Oryctolagus cuniculus: one gene and its partners. The protein of the gene in region 1 purifies or fractionates together with the protein of each later gene. This does not show direct contact. Links are inferred from orthologs where the notes say so. Each region holds a gene or a part of one and is shown in the gene's direction. Other genes may lie near its edges. The genes, in order: SORBS3, DLG5 and WASL.

Region 1 (6,848 bases):
TCTCGGGCCTAAAGGAAGCAGTAGCTTCGGAGAAGGCTGCTTGGCGCACTCCCCCCGGGAGGAGTGCTCCCTGGCCGCCTCTGTGTTCCTCCAGGACCCCTCGGGAGGAGTGCTCCCTGGCCGCCCCTCTGTGTTCCTCCAGGACCTCCCGGGAGGAGTGCTCCCTGGCCGCCCCTCTGTGTTCCTCCAGGACCTCCCGGGAGGAGTGCTCCCTGGCCGCCCCTCTGTGTTCCTCCAGGACCTCCCGGGAGGAGTGCTCCCTGGCCACCTCTGTGTTCCTCCAGGACCTCCCTGGAGGGGTGCTCCCTGGCCACCTCTGTGTTCCTCCAGGACCTCCCGGGAGGGGTGCTCCCTGGCCGCCTCTGTGTTCCTCCAGGAACTCCCTGGAGGGGTGCTCCCTGGCCGCCTCTGTGTTCCTCCAGGACCTCCCGGGAGGGGTGCTCCCTGGCCGCCTCTGTGTTCCTCCAGGACCTCCCGGGAGGAGTGCTCCCTGGCCGCCTCTGTGTTCCTCCAGGACCCCTCGGGAGGAGTGCTCCCTGGCCGCCCCTCTGTGTTCCTCCAGGACCCCTCGGGAGGAGTGCTCCCTGGCCGCCCCTCTGTGTTCCTCCAGGACCTCCCGGGAGGAGTGCTCCCTGGCCACCTCTGTGTTCCTCCAGGACCTCCCGGGAGGGGTGCTCCCTGGCCGCCTCTGTGTTCCTCCAGGACCTCCCGGGAGGGGTGCTCCCTGGCCGCCTCTGTGTTCCTCCAGGACCTCCCTGGAGGGGTGCTCCCTGGCCGCCTCTGTGTTCCTCCAGGGCCTTGCTGCATGCTGGTAAGAACTCGTCGAGCTGGGGCTGCCCTGCCTAACAGCACAACCCACCTTTCCTGTGTTTCTGCAGCCATCCGAGGGTTTTCGCTTCCGCACAAGATCCGGAGTTTTGAAGAAGCCCGAGGTCTGGACCGAATTAACGAGCGAATGCCACCCCGGAAAGACGGCGTGCACTCGGCTGGGCCAGTGAAGTCAGCGACGCCGGCGCACCCGGACACAGCGCACAGGAGCGAGCTGGGGAGGAAAGCCCAGCAGTGACTCCGAGGCCGGCTGTGGCGCAGGGGAGTCAACACCCAGAACAAGCTTAATTTATTTATTGTTGGAAAAGGCAACAGCGGCCACTCAGCCGCACCTGGAGGTGCATCCAGATCCAGTCGGCACTTATTCTGTACGGAAGGTGACCATTTTGTAATTCCTTTTAACTTATGTTCAGTATATATGTACATAGACAAAAGTGCATCTATTTTGTTTTGCCCTGAGTTTTAGAAACAAATCTCGTTGTTGTCGGAACATATGTGGAGTCTTGTGTATAAAGGGGGCTTCCCCTAATAAAAGGGCCTTGGAAACCTCCGTCCTGGGTTTCTCACTCACACTAGCCATCGCCTTTACTCTTCCTTCTTAGAAGCTCATAGCGTTCATCTAAGACTAACAACTTTTCAGATACGAGAATGTTTCTTCCTTGTCATTTTTACCCGGTCCTGCCGGGTGCCGTGGGAGAAAGTCCTCGTAGATTTCAGCCGGAAGCTGCTTCGCGCAGGTGGGAGACTCGTTGTACCGGAACCTGTAAGGGAGTAGCCGGCCCAGCGCTCTCGGGCCGAGGGGGGTGATTTCCATGAGAACCCACTTTTTCTGGACTCCCAGTTCCTTTTACTGTGTTCTAGGAAGGAAACATTTAAAACCAGGAAGGATTTTCCTAGAGTTACTTAAAATTTGTCGATCTAACCATGGACATGATTGATTTATAAAATTTCCTTAGAGCCTTGGAGACGATTTTGAAAAGAACTTGAAATATTGCCAGATTCTTTGGCCTTCATTTTCGGCCCCAGGTGACCTGGCCATGTGCAAGGCGGGTTCCATTTCTAAGTTTCTCACAGCGCCCTCCACAGAGCCGTCAACAGCAAGGAATACGTGTGCCCGCTGTGCTTGCCTGGGCGGTCGCTTCTGTCTCGTGTCTGTCATTCCGAAATCACGGGGGCCGGTGGACGCTGATGCACGGGGTGATCCCCCTGGGATCTCAGAGTCTTGCTACAGGGCATCGGACGAGAGAGGATTTCCTGTCTACCAAGCACTGGGGGTTTCTCCGTCTCCAACACTCATTAGGTTGAACCGTATGTCAACCTCCATAGCATATTCTGGAATATGAAACCAAGTACTCAAATAAAGGGAATGATCTTCCCTTGTTTTCCATGTGACAGCCAACTAGTGAAGGAAATTTGGGGGACACCTGGGCCCCTGTTTTTGGTTTCTGCTGGTCACAGGTCCCGTGTCATAATTGCCATTGTCAGCTCTGCAGCGAATGCCCGCACTGTGCACGCGGCAGCAGAGCGTGGAAGATGCACGTGTCTGGAACCGCGTAGTGCGCCCTTGGAAGGTGAGACTCCAGCGTCGAAGCAGGGATCACAGACGGTCGTGACGCATGCTGGGAGCTTCAAGGAAACAATAAGGAGACATCATTGCTTTGTGAGTTTTCATAAGAAGAGTGAAGACAGCCCAGCTTTCTGAGTTTTCTTACACCTTTTGCTGATAGCACCGAGTTTGCTTATGCAAGAGATCACAGCATTTTGAAGGGCTGGGGTGCACCTGCGTGGACTGCCCTGTTAGTAAGAAGCTGGGAAGGAGACGCAGGTTCCTCCGCTGGTTGTGAGTCAGCGCTGTGAAAGGAGAAAGTCCCCAGCAGCTGTCCTTGCTGGCCTTCCTGTCGTGCTCAGAGGAAAGCAGCTGCTGTGTTTCCTCCTGCTGCTCGCTCCTGCAGCCCCAGGGTGTGAAAGGTGCCTTGGGGAATCTTTCCCGATGGCGCGTGGTGGAGATGAGAGTCCCACACCCCGTTCTTGTCATGGAAGCCAGGGTTACCCACACACACCGCACAGGGCGGAAACCACCCTGCAGAGCCTCCATCTGCAGGCTGTGGTGAAGTAGTTATTGCAAATCCTTAGTAGCAAAGCCGGGTCTCTTTAGCTTACCAGGATGAGTACTTGGGAAAGTCTTCGTATCTTCTCAAGTGTCCTGTGATAAAGCCAGCTTCCTGGAGGGTGTGTTCCCCAGGTACTGCGCTGTTGAGGGGTCGGCCACAGGAGACAGGTGAGAAGCCACGATTTAAGATAATGGAGCATCAGCTCTTGATGGGAGCTAGTTTGAAAATTTTGTTGAGGTGTTTTTTTTTTTTAATTTTTTTTTTTTTTTTTTTGGACAGGCAGAGTGGACAGTGAGAGAGAGAGAGAGACAGAGAGGAAGGTCTTCCTTTGCCGTTGGTTCACCCTCCAATGGCCGCCGCGGCCAGCAAGTTGCGGCCGGCGCACCACGCTGATCCTATGGCAGAAGCCAGGTACTTCTCCTGGTCTCCCATGGGGTGCAGGGCCCAAGCACTTGGGCCATCCTCCACTGCACTCCCTGGCCACAGCAGAGAGCTGGCCTGGAAGAGGGGCAACTGGGACAGAATCCGGCGCCCCAACCGGGACTAGAACCCGGTGTGCCGGCGCTACAAGGCAGAGGATTAGCCTAGTGAGCCGCGGCGCCGGCTGTTTTTTTTTTGTTGTTGTTGTTGTTGTTTTTGTTTGTTTGTTTGTTTTTTTAAGATTTATATATTTGAAAGAGTTCCAGAGAGGGAAAGACAGAGAGAGAGAGAGATCTTTCATCTGCTGGTTCATTCCTCAGATGGCCACAACGACCAGGTCTGGGCCAAGCCGGAGCCAGGAGCTTCTTGCGGGTGTCGCCTGTGGGTAGCAAGGGCTGAAGCACCTGGGCCGACTTCCACTGCTTTCCCAGGCATTAGCAGGGAGCTGGATGGGAAGCAGAGCAGCTGGGACACGAACCGGTGCCTGTAACATGGGATGCTGGTGGCCCAAGCAGCAGCTTTACCAGCTGTGCCACAACAATGGCCCCTGAAAATTCTGTTGAGTTCTAAGGGAAAGATACTTCTCTAGAACGGGTGGGAGTGCATTTCAGCATGATACAGGTGGCCTTTTAAAGTGAGGCTCCCTTGGGGCTAGTGCTGTGGCTCAGCAGGATAAGCTTCTGCCTGCAGTGCCAGCATCCCATATGGGCGCCGGTTCGAGTCCCAGCTGTTCCACTTCCACTCCAGCTCCCTGCTGATGCACCTGGGAAAGCAGAGGAAGATGGCCCAAGTGCTCGGCACCCTTGTGGGAGACCAGGAAGCAGCTCCTGACTGGCCTGGCTGTTGCAGCCATTCGGGGAGTGAACCTCCTCTCTCCTCTCTCTGTGTAACTTTGACTTTCAAGTAAATAAATAAATAAATCTTTAAAAATAAATAAGTAAATAAAGTGAGGCTCTCAGCCGACGTATAGTCCCTACATAGGTGTCTGCACCTGTGACTCCAAACAGGAGACAGCATGACCCTTGGAGTACCAAGTTCAAGACCCCCTGCGTTAGTGTCTGTGTTCTGAATGTTTTATAGCAGAGGCAAAACAGGAAGCCAAGGCGTGCCCACGCATAGGATGCTAAAACAAAAACCCCCCTCGCTCCCCTTAGAACTTCAGGGTGGCAGCTTGGTTATGGTACAGACACTGCTGATTGCTGGCCTGCTGTGACGAGATACGGACCACAAGGTGAAAGCTGCATCATATACTCTGGGGGCTTGGGGCGGCTCCTTGCCCAGGCGCAGGGGGTCAGTGTGTTCCGTGCCCTTTACCATACCTGCACTGCCTGTCTCTGTTCTTCCCTGAACAGCTGCAACTCAGTGGAGTACTAGCAAAGGTTGGCTTTCCTCACCGACAGCTAACTTAGGGATGACTTCCTGACGCTGTTCCAAATGGGAAGTGAAAAGCCCGGGGCTGTTTGTCAGTGGAGGAGTAGAATTTAATGTCCTTGGGAAGCGGTGGCTGATTTCTTGAAACTGGCCTTGGCATTGTCCCTTAGATCCTCTTCTGAGTGGTTTATTTTCTTTTAAAGATTCATTTATTTTTATTTGAAAGGCAGAGTTACAGAGGGGCAGAGGCAGAGAGAGGTCTTCCATCCACTGGTTCACTCCCCAGACGGCCGCAATGGCTGGAGCTGGACCAATTCGAAGCCAGGAGCTTCTTCCAGGTCTCCCACACGGGTGCAGGGGCCCCAGCACTGGGGCCGTCTTCCACTGCTTTCCCGGGCCACAGCAGAGAGCTGGATGGGAAGTGGAGCAGCTGGGACAGTGCCATGTGGGATGCCTGCGCCAGCCCCTTCTGAGTGGTTCAGGACCTCTCAGAAAGATGGAAGGTGTGCCTGCAGGGGATAGGGCTTGGCCATCGCTCACGGGTCTCTGCAGCCCCTCAGAGCAGAGAGGCCGAAATCTGTTCCCTCCGCCCTCCCTCGCTCTGTAAATATTGTAGCTGATCTCTAGAATTTTAGCATACCACATCAGTCAATACAAAATTCAAATTCTTGAGAACTGTGTGCATCCTGACCCGTCAGGGTGACCGACCAGCCAGCCAGCCCAGGGTGGCTAAGCCCGCTAACATGGGGTTTAGGAAGACCTCCCCGAGACTGACTTCATTCTAGTTTTGCTTTGCATCATCAGCTTCTCCCCAAGCTGTAGAGAAGGAATCTCCGAACCCATGAAGCCTTGTGCAGTACCCTTCTAGAACCCCCAGTGTTACTCTGGTTGCTACAGTAACGACAGAACCCGAGTTTCTTTCAGAGCATTTTTCAGCTTTCTCTACAGAGGCAGAAACGTCCCCGGTGGGAGGGAGACCCCAGAGCCCCCGTGGGTAGGCAGCTCCGTTCCCTGCAGTATCTGTCTGTGGTTATAACTGTGGGTCCCATCTTGTGTGGCACCGGCCCCCGTCTTTCCTGAGTCTGTCAGGAAGGGAGTGAGGGGCAGCCGAGGAAGCCCCAGCAATGGGTTGAGGAGGTCCGGGTTCCACAGGGGACAGTTCCGAAGCATTGTGTTGCCATAGTCCCGTCGGGGCACTGCCGCCATCAGCCGCTCGTTACGAGCGAGCAGATGTGTGTAGAGGGAGCAAGTGGTAGTCGGAGGCCAGGGCTGTCGCAGAGGACTGTGCTAACAACGGGGCTTTGTGCCGCTGGCAGAGTGTAAAAGAGGGCGCCCATGTTACCCTGGGCCTCGGGACCTGGCCTGCCTCTCTCCAGCCCGCCCGAGTGAATGGGGTCAGTGCTGGCTGTCTCATCTATGCAGTCACAAAGGTAAACAGAGGCTCTTCCCTCCGGGGAGGCCTTGGCCTCAGGCCCCAGAGCCTCGGGAGACTTGCTGAATAACACCTTTGTCCGAGACAGGGTTCTGCGTCTTCTCTTCTGCGCCCTCATGACCAGTCTAGGTGGCTTAAGATCGAGAAGAGAGGACACGGACGTGGGCCACCCCCTGAGCAGCTGTAAAGTGGGGCCATGCACACTGCCTGCCCGTAAGTTCTTGCCCCATGCTTCCCTCCCTCCACGGAGTTCTCTCTGGATACCCACCCCACTCCCTGCTTTTGTGGGTTCCTCTGCGTGTTTAAGTGAAGTGCACATAATGAGGAGGCCTACCGTGGCCTTGGATTTGGGAGCAACGCAGGTGCATTCTTAGCTGCCACAGAACCTTCTCGGACATGCCGTCGTGAGCACTTGACTTTCCCCCTCTCGGTAGGCCGTGGCCCAGAGCTGTTCTTCCCAGCCGGCATGTCAGCAAACATTTTCCGAGGGAGGCTCCCAGGTGGCCAGCTGTAGGAGACTGGCTGCGGCGTCACTTTTCCTGAGGTTCTTCTGGGTGATGGATGGATTATATGTTTGTGCTTGGAGATTGCCTTGTTTCCTGGTTGCAGTTATGTTAAAGAAAATGTTGGCCGTGTTATTTATTGGAAAGAAACCATTTAGTCAGTCTCTTTGTGCACCAGAAATT
Region 2 (6,898 bases), on another chromosome or scaffold:
CAGAAGTTGGACTGCAAACACATACCCAGGAGTGAGCCGCCAGGATGCCTGTGAGGGTCCCTGTGTCGGGCAGGGACCCTCCCTGAGGATGTGGGAGAGGGAAGGGACGCGGGAATGGGCAGACGGAGCCCGTTTTGGACACAGGGGAAGGATGCCTGGGGGAAGCAGACTGTGTGTGTGTGCACACGTGTGCATGTGTGTGCAAAGGTTGAGGGTGCAGGACTGAATCCAGAGCCTGGGAGGGCTCCTGTCAACCAGGAGGGACCCTCTTCTTCCCAGCCCAAGAGGAGCATGAAGGGTCGCTGAGTTTACAGAGGAATCCTCGGGCAGTGGAAGAGGTGACAGGATGATACTAATATGGGGACATTCATCTTTTTAATTTTTTTAAAGATTTTTAAAAAAAATATTTATGAAGGCAGAGTTAGAGAGTGAGAGATAGAGAAAGAGAGTGAGGTCGCCCACATCACATCCCAGATGGCTGGGCCAGGCCAAAGCCAGGAGACTGGACCTCCAGTCTTCACAGCATTCTCTGTCCCAATGTTCCAGACGCCAGCCGCTGGATGGGAGCTGTGACCTCGTTGTAACGTGGTGACGTTACGTCCCATCCACAGGTACTGGGAGTTAGGGCTCTGAGCTCTCTTCTGTTGGGGGCTGGTTTACATAATTCAACCTAGTACATGGGACAGAGGAGACAGTGTGTGGGAAGGTGTCCCAGAATGGGTAAAAAAAAATTGTGCAGAAATATAAAGTCATAGGGCCGGCGCTGTAGTGCAGCAGGTAAAGCCACCACCTGTGATGCCAGCATCTCATATGGGCACCGGTTCCTGTCCCAGCTGCTCCACTTCCAACCCAGCTCCCTGCTACTGCACCTGGGAAAGCAGCAGAAGGTACTGGAAGCGCTTTGGCCCCTGCAGCCATGTGGGAGACCTGGAAGGGGCTCCTGGCTCCTTAAACAAATTTTTTTTTTTTTTTTTTAAAGAAAAAGTATCTGCTTCAGAATGTATGCTTTCCATACACCCCAGAGGCACCAGTACCGCAGGGCCTGGCAGCAGGCCTGCCTAGTACACGGCCCCGCACTGCTTCGGAGGAAGCACGCACCCTCCGCACCATGTCCTCAGGGCTGCTGGCCACCACCTCCCAGGTACCTTTTGCTTCTGGGCTTATGCTCAGTTCTAACCATAAACCAAACCAGCCTCCAATTTTCCCTCGTTCCTTCTCCCCTGCTTCCACCTTCCTCCCATCTCCTGGATTTTAAATGAATGCAGCCGAGAGCACAAGGTCCAGGCACGCCCAGAGAGACGGATACTCTGCAGATGACCGTGGCTCTGTGGCTGCTGGGAAGGAAATGGTGGCGGGAAGAGGAGGGAGAGGAAGGCAAGAGCTGGCAGCCTGTCTAGAGCCCTGGTGCGGTGCACATGGTCTGCTTTCCACTCCCCTCACACCGGGCTCAGCGGCAAAGCCCAGGCACTCTGGGCAGAGAAGTATGAGACCTGTGAACAGGTGACTGCCCCCATGCTGGGATCACGGAGGCCCTAATAAACTCGGACAAAGCCGTGGACTCTCATCCTGCCCAAGTACATGAATGCCCGCACAAAAAAGCTGTGATAAATTGAAAAGTCTCGCTGACTCCCTTGGGTGTTATTTAATTCAAGAGGCAAAGAAACAGAGACAGCTCCCCTCTGCAAGGTCACTCCCCCGATGGCCAGGGTCTGAACCAGGAGCTGGGGACTCCATCCAGGGCTCTGGGGACGAACTTAAGCACTTGAGCCATCACCTGCTACCTCCCAGGGTTTGTACTGGCAGGACGTTGGTCTCGGGAGCCGGATCTGGGGATGAAACCCAGGCACTCTGATGTGGATGTCCTAACCAAATGTCTGTTCATGAAGCCAAGCCTAAGCACCCCTTGCTCTAGTCCCCTCAACCCTCTGTATTTCTTCTAAAGACAAAAAAACAGATCAGCAAGGAAAACTGATTTGTTCTCACCTGTGCAGCTAGAGGGAGATCCAGCATTAATCCGTGTTCTAAGCACTACACGGGGACTGTGTTCTCATTAGACCAAAGAAGCAGCTTTTGCTTATGGGGCAAGTGTGGGGATGGAAACAGCAGTGGCAGTAAACAGAGTCCCAGGCCTTGGGTGTGGGCGAATGAGTTTCACCCCTTCCCACACAGGCCTCTGGAATGGACCCCCAGGAGTGCTGTGGGGTCACTGGGAGCCCTGCACAGGGCCATGTCCCCCAGAGAGAGGTACGCAGCCTTGTCCACACTCAAGTCGGTGGCAATGGGGGACTGACTGAGGACTGGGGGCCTTCTTGGAGCTGGACCTGGTCCCTCTTGCAGTCATGGGGGGGGATGCAAGGCAGCCCATTGATTTGCCTCCTTCGGAGACGGGCTACCAGCTGGGGGGTACCATCCAGACGTCTAGAGCGCCTGGGGGTACCACCGCCACTCCTCTGTTTGCCCCCTCCTCCCGCCAGCACCCAACATCTGTAGATTGGGGACTAGCTCCTCTCAGATGCGGGTTAGGGGAAAGACCCCATTAACAGGGTCTTAGTTTGGAGACGTCTGAGTTTAGGGGACACTCCCTTCCCTCTACTATGATCAGTACGAGGTGGGTCTCCGGTAGCTCGGGGGCTGCAGCCAACCCGGGGTAGGGGCCGGGACCCCTGCCTCTCGCCCACCCCCTAGCTCGTCGCCGCCTCCCGGAGGGACGGCCGGGGAGAGGGGGAGGGGAGACCGGAGGGGCGGGCCCGCGCTGGGGCGCGGGCCTTGGCGGAGCGGGCGGCGGCCGCGGGGCCCCGGTGAGCCGGGCCAGAGTCGTCGAGGGGCCAGCGCCCGGGTCCCGGGCCGCTTTTCCCGGGGGGCGGCGAGGCACACTCGGCGGCGACTCCTCTCGCGGGCCGGCGGCGCGCGGGGGCGGAGGCGGAGGGGGAGGGGGCATGCCCGGCTGGAGCCCGGCCTCGGGGCGCGCCCCGGCCGCCGTCCCCACCTCCGCCTCCTCCTTCTCCTCCTCCCTCTCCTCCTCCTCCTCCTCCTCCTCCTCCTCCTCCTCCTCCTCCTCTTCCAGTCCCGCCGCCGCGGCAGCCAACATGGCTGCGCTCCGGAGCCCGGGAGGCGGCCGCTGCTGAGCGCCGTGCGCCGCCCGCCGCCCCGGGCCCCCCAGCCCGCGCAGGCCCGGCCCCGATCCATGGCCCCCGGCGCGGCGCGGCTCCCGGCGCGCTAGGGCTGCGGCCCAGGCGCGGGCCCGCCGGCCTCGGAGCCGGGCGGCGCGGCGCGGCCGCCGCCACCATGGAGCCCCAGCGCCGCGAGCTGCTCGCCCAGTGTCAGCAGAGCCTGGCCCAGGCCATGACGGAGGTGGAAGCCGTGCTCGGGCTGCTCGAGGCCGCGGGCGCGCTGAGCCCCGGCGAGCGGCGGCAGCTGGACGAGGAGGCGGGAGGCGCCAAGGCGGAGCTGCTGCTCAAGCTGCTCCTGGCCAAGGAGCGCGACCACTTCCAGGACCTGCGGGCGGCGCTGGAGAAGACCCAGCCTCACCTGCTGCCCATCCTGTATCCGAACGGCGTCGTGGGGCCGCCGCAGCCCGCCGAGGGCGCGGGTGAGTGTCCGCCCCCCGTCCCTTCTGCCTGCGGCGCGCGCGAGGGGGCATCTCGCCGGGGCCCCCGGTCCACCTGGCGGCGGCCGCGGGTGGAGCCGCCCCTCCTTTAGCCCGTTCGGACAGGGGGCCCAGCGTGGACCCTGAATTCACGCCCGGGGCCCCAGGCCCTCCGGTAGCCCGGAGCAACGTCTCCCGGGCCAGGGGCCCTCGCCCTCCCACTGCCAGGCGGCAGCGTCCTGCCGCGTCTCCCAGGTGCCTTTCCCAAGGCTTTTCCCCGGTTACTGGCCCTTTGGGAGCCCCTGCTGTCCTTTGACCAGCGGACCCCGATCTCGCTGCTGCCCGTCCCGGCTCCCTTACCTCTGCCCGGCTCAGCCCCTTAGCTGGCCCGGACCTGTGGTTGGTTGTGCACAATGCCTGCCTAGGTCTCTTTGCAAACTGTGGGCCGGGAAAAGTTGGGAAGTTGCATTGCACCATGGGAAAATCCTAGCAAACGGCTCGGGGCTGAGCTTCCTCCCAGAACGCCGAGCTGCCCACGGGTCCCCTTGGGTGGTACCTTTTGGCGCTTCTGAGTTCTCGGTGTTGGGGGTGACTGGTGTGTGTGTGTGTGTGAGCTTCTGAGGGAGGGGGAGGCTTGTCCTGACCAGGTTGGGGAGGGCAGAGAACTGGTCATTTGTCGGGCACCAGGCATTCTGCTGTCACCTTTAATTGTGGCTGCCACGCCGCGAGCTGTGACTGCTCCTGCTTGGCCAGAGAGAAAGCTGGTGTCTGGGTGGTTAACATGCTCAGAAAGACCTGGGCACCGGGAGTTCTGAGTTCTGACCAAGGGTTTTAACATGTTCAGAGCCAGGAGCGAGCAAGTGGCCATCACATGCCTGTTTTAAGAATGAGCCAATGTATACAGGAAAAGTAAATAAAGACGCACGCATTAAAGTTAAAGAGAATGAGCCAGGAGGGCCGAAGTGCTGCCTGAGCAGCTTGTGGGCTAAGGGCTGACAGGACCCATTTATGTGGCTGTTAAAAGCTTCTCTCATTACGGGGATGATTTTATAAGGTGTTCCTGGTAACAGCTCTCGTGTCTGATGGCCGTCTCGGCCTCACTGATTTTATAGCCGACGCACACAGAGGGACCTGACGCTGGTCACCCAGCTGTGGATTTCATCGGCGGCCCGTGCATCTCTGTCCCTCAAACTTGCATTCCGTCCCCCCACCTGTGGGCCCATCAGAGTAGAGGGCGAACCGCGCCCTGGCCTGGGATAGTACCTTGGAAGCTGCTAAGGAGGGGCTCTTGGTGTAGCCAGGGGTCTGAGGACAGGGGAGGGTCTTGGGGGAAGTGCCATTCTTTCCCCTTGTTAATTGCTCCATCTATCCACTTGAGAAGGAGGAAGTTTATCCAAGATCCGTGTCCAGCAGTCTCTTGGAAGCACAGACGTGAGAGTGCGGAGCAGGCGTTCTTGCTGGATGCCTGAGACTCAGCCCCCCCCCCCCCCCGCCCATGAATGGCCGTGGGTTCGGTGTCCCCTGAAGCTGTGGGAGCAGAGTCCCGACCCCTTTGCATTTTATCCCTCGGGGCAGTGATGTCGGACCCCAGCTTTGCCACATTGCAGAGTTCCGTGGCTTCACAGAGGGTCATGAGATTCTTAAGACAAATAATTGCCGGCGCCGTGGCTCAATAGGCTAATCCTCCACCTTGCGGCGCCAGCACACCAGGTTCTAGTCCCGGTCGGGGCGCCGGATTCTGTCCCGGTTGCCCCTCTTCCAGGCCAGCTCTCTGCTATGGCCAGGGAGTGCAGTGGAGGATGGCCCAGGTGCTTGGGCCCTGCACCCCATGGGAGACCAGGAAAAGCACCTGGATCCTGGCTCCTGCCATCGGATCAGCGCGGTGCGCCGGCTGCAGCGGCGGCCATTGGAGGGTGAACCAACGGCAAAGGAAGACCTTTCTCTCTGTCTCTCTCTCTCTCTCACTGTCCACTCTGCCTGTCAAAAAAAAAAAAAAAAAATAATTGCCAAGGGGAAGTTGACTTCATTTGATTCAACATGTTAGGAAGAAAAACGTTCATTTGCCGTTCTGGAGCCTGGGGGCAGCGAGTGATGTGGTGTGCAGGTCAGCAGCGGCACGTGGGGCTTTTTCATGGGGGCAAAGCTCTGTGCACGAAAGAGCGGCTGTGGTCGGAGGGCTGGAGGCCCCGGCCTCACCCGGGAGCAGCCACTGTCAGAGAGACCCAGCGCTGTGCCCTGCCTCCTTTGACTCCTCAGCGACTTCTGCAGCTTCCAGGTCCCGGGCTGGCATCAGCATGGAGCCCGAGAGGAAGTGCTGGCGCTCCTAGGACCCTGGCGTCAGGGGGTGGCCGCTCTGTCACTGTCTCTACGTTGGAGGCCACGCCGTCTCCTGGGGGCGTTCATGGTGGATTCAGCACTCTGTGGTCTGGTCCAAAGTGCCATCCAAACCCCTGGGCCCCTGTGCCCTCTGGGAGTCTGCAGTGGCATGGACACAGAGACGCTGCCAGCCCTCCACGTGGGGCTGGAAGGGAAGGAAACTCGTGGCTGCGTGCGGCTGTGCAGGTGAGCTGACCAAGCCCTCTGGGCAGGTTGGGCTCAATTAGATCCCCCACGTTTATAACCCACTCCAATCAGGCCTGGGCTGTAGGGATGACAAAGAAGCGTCCAGTATGGTTGTTCTGCCCTTGGCAGGGCCGTTCAGCACTTACCTTCTATTCTTTATTGTTCTTTTACTAAGTCATTAGTTAATTCGAGAGACACAGAGAGAAAGAGATCACACTCCCATCTGCTGATTTACTCCCCAGACAGCCAGGGATGGGCCAGGCCAAAGTTGGGAACTGGGAACTCAATCTGGGTCCTCCAAATGGGTGGCAGGGACCCTAGAACTTGAGCCTTCATCATCTGCTGCTTCCCAGGGTGTGCTTTAACTGGAAACTGAAATTGGGAGCACAGCTAGGACTCGAACCCAGGCACTCTGATACGGGATTCAGGTGTTCCAACCAGCATTTTAACCTCTAGGCCAGATGCCTGCCCTCTGGTTTCTTACTCTCCTGTCTCACTGATTCTGTGGCTGAATGTGTGATGAATGGAGTCTTTTGGGTTCATTATATTGGGTTCCAGGGCCCTGTCTGTAAGGTCTAAGGAAGAAGTCACAGGACGGGGGCCAGCGCTGCGGTACAGCAGGTTAAGCCACTGCCTGCAACCCAGCATCCCATATGGGTGTTGGTTGGAGTATTGGCTGCTCCGCTTCTGATCCAGCTCCCTGCTAATGCGTCTGGGAAAGCAACAGAAGATGGCCCAAGTGCTTGGGCC
Region 3 (6,855 bases), on another chromosome or scaffold:
GCAAAATATAACATTGAAGAAAATAAAAGCTTAAAGTGCAGTTTTATGAACTTTGGGCTAAGGAAAAATTAAAGAAACTGGGCCTGAGGAAAAAGGGCTAAGGAAAAATTAAAGAAACTGGGCTTGAGGAAAAAAGTCTATGATGATCTTAATTTTCAATCTTAAGAAATCTAAATAAAATTGAACAAGGGTTAATAGAAAATTGCATTTGGGTAAGACAAATATTTTTGGAAGAAATAAAGCAATTTAAACTGCAGTCTGGGAATATAAGAGGTTGAAAGACTACCAAAACTAAAAATACTGTGATCTACACATTTTAAAAGCTGATATTGTAGCATAAAAATTCTTTCAGTTTTTATTAATTACAAGTGAACAGGATTCCTAGATTTATAGTTTTTCAATGTTTTGCTATATTGGCATACTGGGGTATACTATCCTGCCAACAAAGAGAAAATGCTCCAAATTTACCATCATATATTTGGAGATTTTGTAGAGTTGTAAATTCTAAGGATAGCTTTTAGGGTTAGACAGAACAAAGGTAAAACAATATATTTTCATTCAACTTGAGCCTTTAGCCAAAGGAGAATAGAATAGACGATAGGCAAGGACAGTAAGTGACAACTAATACTTGAGTACTCACTACATGTAAGTTCCTTATATGTGCTATCATATTTTGCAACTTGGAAATAGGTGCAATTTCAATACTTACACTACACCTTTACGAAACAAATCGTTTTCATTTTATGGATGAGGAAATAGACTTACAGAAGTTAACTTGTCCAAAGTTCCATAAAGTTCTAAGAGGCTTAACAGGAACTGCCACTTAAAGTATACCTGAAGTCTGTACTTTTAGTATTAAACTTATTTACAGGTTCAAAAACATAAGGGTTTTGGTGTCTATCACTTCCCAGTAACTTTAACAGCTTGCTGCTGTTACTCTGCTTTCCACCTGTAGCTGCATTTGTGATCAAAGACAAAATAGCACCCAGGTTTATCTTCTGTGATTCAGAGGTAACTCCGGATCTACATTTCCACTACTGTCCTTTTAAACTACTTTATGAACAGTTACCCCTCCATTTTTCTATAACATTATTAATCAAGGTCAAGTTTGAAATATCCACATATTATATGAAAATCTCCAAGGTGTAACGCCCTCATTTCCTTTTGCAGATTTATAACTGCTCAATTTTACTAGACCATCTTTAACCATAAATTTTCCTAATATTTCCCAAGTGCACTGATAATGGTTTATTCATCTACTTAATACATTGGGGATTTCTATGGGAAGTTACCAGAGCCACTAAAATCAAATAGCTTTATCAAAGTTTGTCTTAGGAAGATGTCTTCACATACCACTTTTTTTTTTTTTTATTGAAACTGAGAATTAGCAAACACATTAAAGTGTGTGCACAAATGCGGATACGTTTAACGTGGAGGTCAGACGCACGATTCATTGTTCCCCGTGGACCAGTTTTACCATTTCCATATTTCAAAATTTCCTCTCACAACAGTTGTGGAGCATATAAGCTTACTGAATAAAGGGGGTTATCCCAGACAACTTACAACATTTCTGCACACACATCAGCTCGAGGTTTACCTCTAAGAATTTAACCAGGTAAGGCGTTTTCCGGCCGTGACTTCTCAAAATGAGAAACAATACAAGAACTCTGGGTAGATACAATACAAGAACTTTGGGGTTCCAAAGAAAGAGAAAAAGATGGGGGGATTATCTCCCAATTCACGGAGTGGTTGTAAGTTCAGGGTCCTTGAAAGACAGAACTCGAATTTAAATGGTACACATCCTAGAGCATTTATCGCACGTGACAAGCGAGCCAGGGGGGCGGCGGAAGCGTTTTCTAAGCGCGTTTGGAGACTTGCCCGCATCAAGATGCGTTTCAGGAACGCAGGGAGAGAGGCCTGCGTCTCCGCTCCCTCTGGGGAAGTCGGGTCGGGAGTGTGCACCTGCGGCTCAGCCCCAAGCCGGCGGCACGCGCGCCCAACTGTCCCCTCCAGATTCCAGACCTTTCTGACAGGCGGCGTGCGCGTCCCACTTCCGCCACTGAGAAAGGACGCTTCGCAAGGTGCGCACCCTCAGAAGAGAGGGCGGCGGACCACCGCGGTAGCGGATCCTCATCCTCTCCTCAGTCCCTGGTACCCAAAGGCCACAGGCCGGAGCCAGGTCCGGGAGCCGAGCCCCACCAGCCCCCGCGCGGCCGGAAAGGGGCGGGGCTTCGGCCGGCGCGGCGAGGCCTGCCCCGGAGTGGGGGGGTTCCTCCCGCGTTTCCGGCGCGCTCCCCCGCGCCCTGCGTACTGTGGTCTCGCCCGCCCCTGCTGCCATGTTGGATTGTGCGGCCGCCGCCGGCGCCGCAGGAGGCTTGTAGGAGGAGTTGGGAGTTTAGCGCAGTCGCCGGAGTGCGAGGACAACGACCATCGGGCCTAAGCCTAGCCGGGCTGGAGCTGGGAGCGTCCTTTCCTCCGCGCGGCCCGCCGTCAGCTCCTCCTCCTCCTCCCCGCGCCGGAGGAGCCTCGAGATGCTGCGCTGGTGACTCCGCTGCTTCTCGCCCCTGTCACTGAGAAGGGGGGACGAGCGTGGCCCACTCACCGGAGGACACGGCCCTGGACTCTCATCCCCGCCGGCGCAACCATGAGCTCCGGGCAGCAGCAGCAGCAGCCGCCGCCGCCGCGGAGGGTCACCAACGTGGGGTCCCTGCTGCTCACCCCGCAGGAGAACGAGTCCCTGTTCACGTTCCTCGGCAAGAAATGTGTGGTCAGTGGTCGAGAACTGCGTCGCTACCTTCGACGTTGCCCGCCGGGGGCCTGGGCTTGGGGACCGGGAAGGAGGCGCGAGTGGCGCGGGGAAAGAGTCCCGCCGCGAGCCAGGCCTCCCGCGGCCGGCGCCCTCGCCCTGCTCCCTGGGTGCGGGCCGGGGCAGCCGGACGCCGTCTCCGGAGCTGCCCGAGAACAAGGGAGTGTCACCTCCGCGGCCCTTCCGCGGCCCGCGCCCTGGCTGCCGGTTCCAACTTTACTCTCAGAGCGCCCGAGCCCCTGACGCTCAGAAAGGGGACCACCCCTGTTCTGCCCTCGCGTCACCTCCTGTGTGGAACCCGGGCGTCCCTTTCCTAACAATGCCAGAGGTTTGGGGAGTGGGTAGGTCTCGGGGAGTGGAGCCCCTTGCAGATTGCAGCAGGGAGTGGATGGAGTGCAGGTTCCTGGGAACTCCAGGATCAGAACAGGGGCAGGAAGCGCTGCTGCTCCCCAGTGCACAGAAGCAGGGTTTATTTCCACAGCAGCCTCGCCTAGGCCTGGTTTCTAATCTCCTCCCCACTGATTTTTTTATTTTTGCATTTGTAGGAGCGGGTGCTGTTCTCCCCGCAGCCTTGCGCACGGAAACCTCGATCTCTAGTAGTTCTTGGCCTTTGGGGCCGAGAGTGGTTCTTAGGCTGGTGCTGTGCGGCCGGTTCCAACCCCAGATGGCCGGTTGGGAGCAAGGAAGGGGCAGGGTGCTGTGGGAAGGAGAATGTGTGTTGTTGACGGAAGCATTCATTACATTGGCTGCTGGCACTTCTGGGGGTGGGGAGGTTCTGCTCCGTGGTATAGGCCTTGTGTCGGGATCTTTCTGCGGTGCCTGGCTTGAGCTGCAGTCAGTGCTGGCTGGGACCCTTTCTCCCTGCTTGCTGGCACCTGCAGAGTTTGCGCTGGAACCCAGGAAACACCCACGGAAATTTCAACAGGGTAGTGTCACTCTGTCACCCTCTTTAGGCATGTTAAGAGATGCCAAACCAGATTGCACCTGTTTGTTTAAAAAGTTAGGGTTAAACAGTTTCTGGAAAGTTACCAGATTAAGTGTTAACTTTATTAGAGGCTCCTCTTTATATCTTGTGCCACACAGTTGGAGACTGAATCATTCCATTCAGTTTTAGGGGTATTTCGTATTTCTGGATGTAGATCTTAAAGAACATGGAGTTTACTGATCGAATGATCAGAATGAAGGACAGAAGGGCGGCTCAGAATCACATTTTTGTGAAACAACTTTAAATATAATTAACTTCCTCCTCGCCCACACAATTTTGTAAACAAATGGGAAAACTTAGCCACTGAGCACCAAGTCACACAACCATTTGGTAATGTAACTGGAACTAGAAAACCAGGACTCCTGGTGCTTAGGCCCATTTTACTTTCCACTACATCATGTTGTTTTAGTTAGAAGAGGATCTTTTTTTTTTCTCCTTACTGTTTTGTTTGTAAAAGTGATGCTAAAGGAATCACCAGTTCATTCTTTATTGTCAGAAACTAAGAAAAAATGCAGGATTTCTAAAGCAGCACTATTTTTCTTTTTACTTTTTTTTCAGTTTACACTCTCCAGCTCTTTGTTATCTGTAAATGAACAAAAAATCCACTTTGCTGGTTTATTACATATGTTGGATAATCTGTATCCAAAAGGAAGTAGTTGTACATGTTTTACATACCAGACATACTAAAACTTTAGGTAGGAAGCATATTACACATATTATACACAAGTATACTGACAAATTGCTCTGTGCTTTCCTATAATGTTTACTGGGTTCAAAAAAATGACATATGTGGAACATATCCTGATAAGAGAAAGATAGTATTGCTCACTGGGTAGCATAAGCAGATTGTCGAATAGGCTGTCAGTAGTCAGTGCTCAATTTCTCTATGCCATCTTTTATTAATCAGCTTTACCTTTTGAATTTCTGTCATTTAAAACCACACTTGTTACAGTTGCCTGTTCTTGTGGAATGAAATTGTCAGGAAGATTAACTTTAAAATGTAAAGTCCCCAGGTGATAGGGAGTAACATTGAGAATAATAGTTTAAATTTTTGCAATAATCTTTTTTCCCTTTACTGATTATACAGTCTTTTGTAGTGTAAAACAGTACTTTCATACATTTTTACAATAAATCCAGCAATAAGGTTTACAGGTCAGACCAAATGTATTAGGCAAGAAGTTTATTGAGAGCTCTAAGAATTCAAGAAATGAACCAGACTTTCTCTCTCTCTCTCTGTCTCTGTCTCTCTCTCTCTCTCTCTCTCAGAGCTTCATTCCTTCTTAGATTCAACAAGCATGTGTTGGGTAACTAAATGTTGAGGTCAAAATCGGGGTTGTGCTTGCCCTCAGGGAGCTTGGTGTTCTAAAAAGGAAACAAACGTATAAACTGATGAGTAAGTCAGTAGTTCAGAGTGATGTTTAAGAAGCTGCATGCCACAGTGGAAAACACCTTGACTTTGTAGTCAGCAAACTTTGGTCACTTTAGAAAGTTTCTTAAGCTTCCTGTTGCAGGTTTCATGGGAATAGGGCATGTGGATTAGGAGGACACTGCGTGTAAATATGTAGAAACTGTCTAATAAAAGTTTAGGGGATCAGAAGAGAGGATAGTGAGAGAAAGGATGAGTAAAAGCCAAACGTGAATATTTGAGATGATAGTTTTCCAGGTCAGTGAGAGGCATGAGATAGCTTGGGAAGTTAGGATAGTTGCTGATAGTTTGTTGCTGGAGCTATAAGGATTTCTGCTTGGCTTCTCAAATTTAGATATGCATTGGAACCATGGTGGAGGTTGTTAGGAAAGCTTATGGCTGGGGCCAATTTCTAGATAAATTCACTGAGTCTGGGGTGGAGGTTGGGCATTTCTGTTTTTAGAAAGCTTAAAGGAAGTCTAATATGTTTTACAATTTGAAACCCACTGGTGAAGTCCACTGTTTCTGATACAGTAATCCTAGAAACATTAGATGTTATATTGGAAAAGTAACAGTGAAAATGCTAATGAATTTTCCCCTCCATCTTTAGCCTATATTTTGTGAGTCAAGTTTAATTTAAAACAAGTTCTTTCAGCACAGCATTTCTCTGATTCCTTAAGATATCAGAAATGTGCATTTCATAGCTTTGAGAGGAAGTATTGCACTAATAAGTGGGGAAACCACAAGATCAGATTTGATTTTTAGAAGTTTTGAGGGGAATGGTGGAGGCAGTATAGAAGGTGGATTGAGGATTGTGAGAGTGGAGACAGAGGAGATTAGAGGGGTATTTACAGTTGTTCACATGAAATACCTTGAGAGCCTGAGTAAGGCAGTACTGGTGGAAGTTCAAGGACAATTAGAAGGTCTCCAACAGAACCTAGTCTTACCTAGATAGAGTGAGGGAAGGGTATTGTGATAAAGATAGGTGTTACAACCTACAGAAAAACTGCAGAAATACATGTCTCAATTGCTGGACATATGCCTACATGTAAGGGACACTCAGGATTGGTGATTGCTTTCATGGAGAAAGTGAATTTTCAGAAAATTTTATTGTTTTGCCACAGTTTTTAAAAATAGAATTAGTGGAAATTGAGCTTTCTTTTGAAGTTATATGTAAGTATACGTTATATATTTTCACAAAAATACATAGTTTTAATGCTGTTCATTAACTTGTAGTATTTTTTTCCCTTTTAAAACATTGTGGTTATCTTACTGTCCATGATTACTTTCTTTTTTTTCTTTTTTCTTTTTTGACAGGCAGAGTGGACAGTGAGAGAGAGAGACAGAGAGAAAGGTCTTCCTTTGCCATTGGTTCACCCACCAATGGCCGCCGTGGCCGGCGCGCTGCAGCCGGCACACTGCGCTGATCGGATCGCAGGAGCCAGGTGCTTCTCCTGGTCTCCCATGGGGTTCAGGGCCCAAGCACTTGGGCCATCCTCCACTGCACTCCCTGGCCACAGCAGAGAGCAGGCCTGGAAGAGGGGCAACCGGGACAGAATCCGGCGCTCCGACCGGGACTAGAACCTGGTGTGCCGGCGCCGCAAAGCGGAGGATTAGCCTAGTGAGCCGCGGCGCTGGCCCATGATTACTTTCAATAAA

What was found.
Region 2: the proteins of SORBS3 (region 1) and DLG5 purify together in Homo sapiens (co-immunoprecipitation; 3 studies listed by BioGRID and IntAct, with this or other methods). This does not show direct contact. The link is inferred for Oryctolagus cuniculus from reciprocal best matches to the Homo sapiens genes SORBS3 and DLG5.
Region 3: the proteins of SORBS3 (region 1) and WASL purify together in Homo sapiens (co-immunoprecipitation; 3 studies listed by BioGRID and IntAct, with this or other methods). This does not show direct contact. The link is inferred for Oryctolagus cuniculus from reciprocal best matches to the Homo sapiens genes SORBS3 and WASL.

What each region holds. Positions count from the first base shown.
Region 1 is NC_091439.1:771,474-778,321, reverse strand, and holds the start of SORBS3 (vinexin), read left to right. Parts: upstream 1-3,184; 5' UTR 3,185-6,160; intron 6,161-6,175; exon of another isoform or gene 6,176-6,250; 5' UTR 6,251-6,375; intron 6,376-6,848. UniProt on the Homo sapiens protein: Vinexin alpha isoform promotes up-regulation of actin stress fiber formation. Vinexin beta isoform plays a role in cell spreading and enhances the activation of JNK/SAPK in response to EGF stimulation by using its third SH3 domain.
Region 2 is NC_091446.1:68,896,747-68,903,644, reverse strand, and holds the start of DLG5 (disks large homolog 5), read left to right. Parts: upstream 1-3,019; 5' UTR 3,020-3,285; coding exon 3,286-3,589; intron 3,590-6,898. UniProt on the Homo sapiens protein: Acts as a regulator of the Hippo signaling pathway.
Region 3 is NC_091434.1:159,981,693-159,988,547, reverse strand, and holds the start of WASL (actin nucleation-promoting factor WASL), read left to right. Parts: upstream 1-2,238; 5' UTR 2,239-2,644; coding exon 2,645-2,767; intron 2,768-6,855. UniProt on the Homo sapiens protein: Regulates actin polymerization by stimulating the actin-nucleating activity of the Arp2/3 complex. Involved in various processes, such as mitosis and cytokinesis, via its role in the regulation of actin polymerization.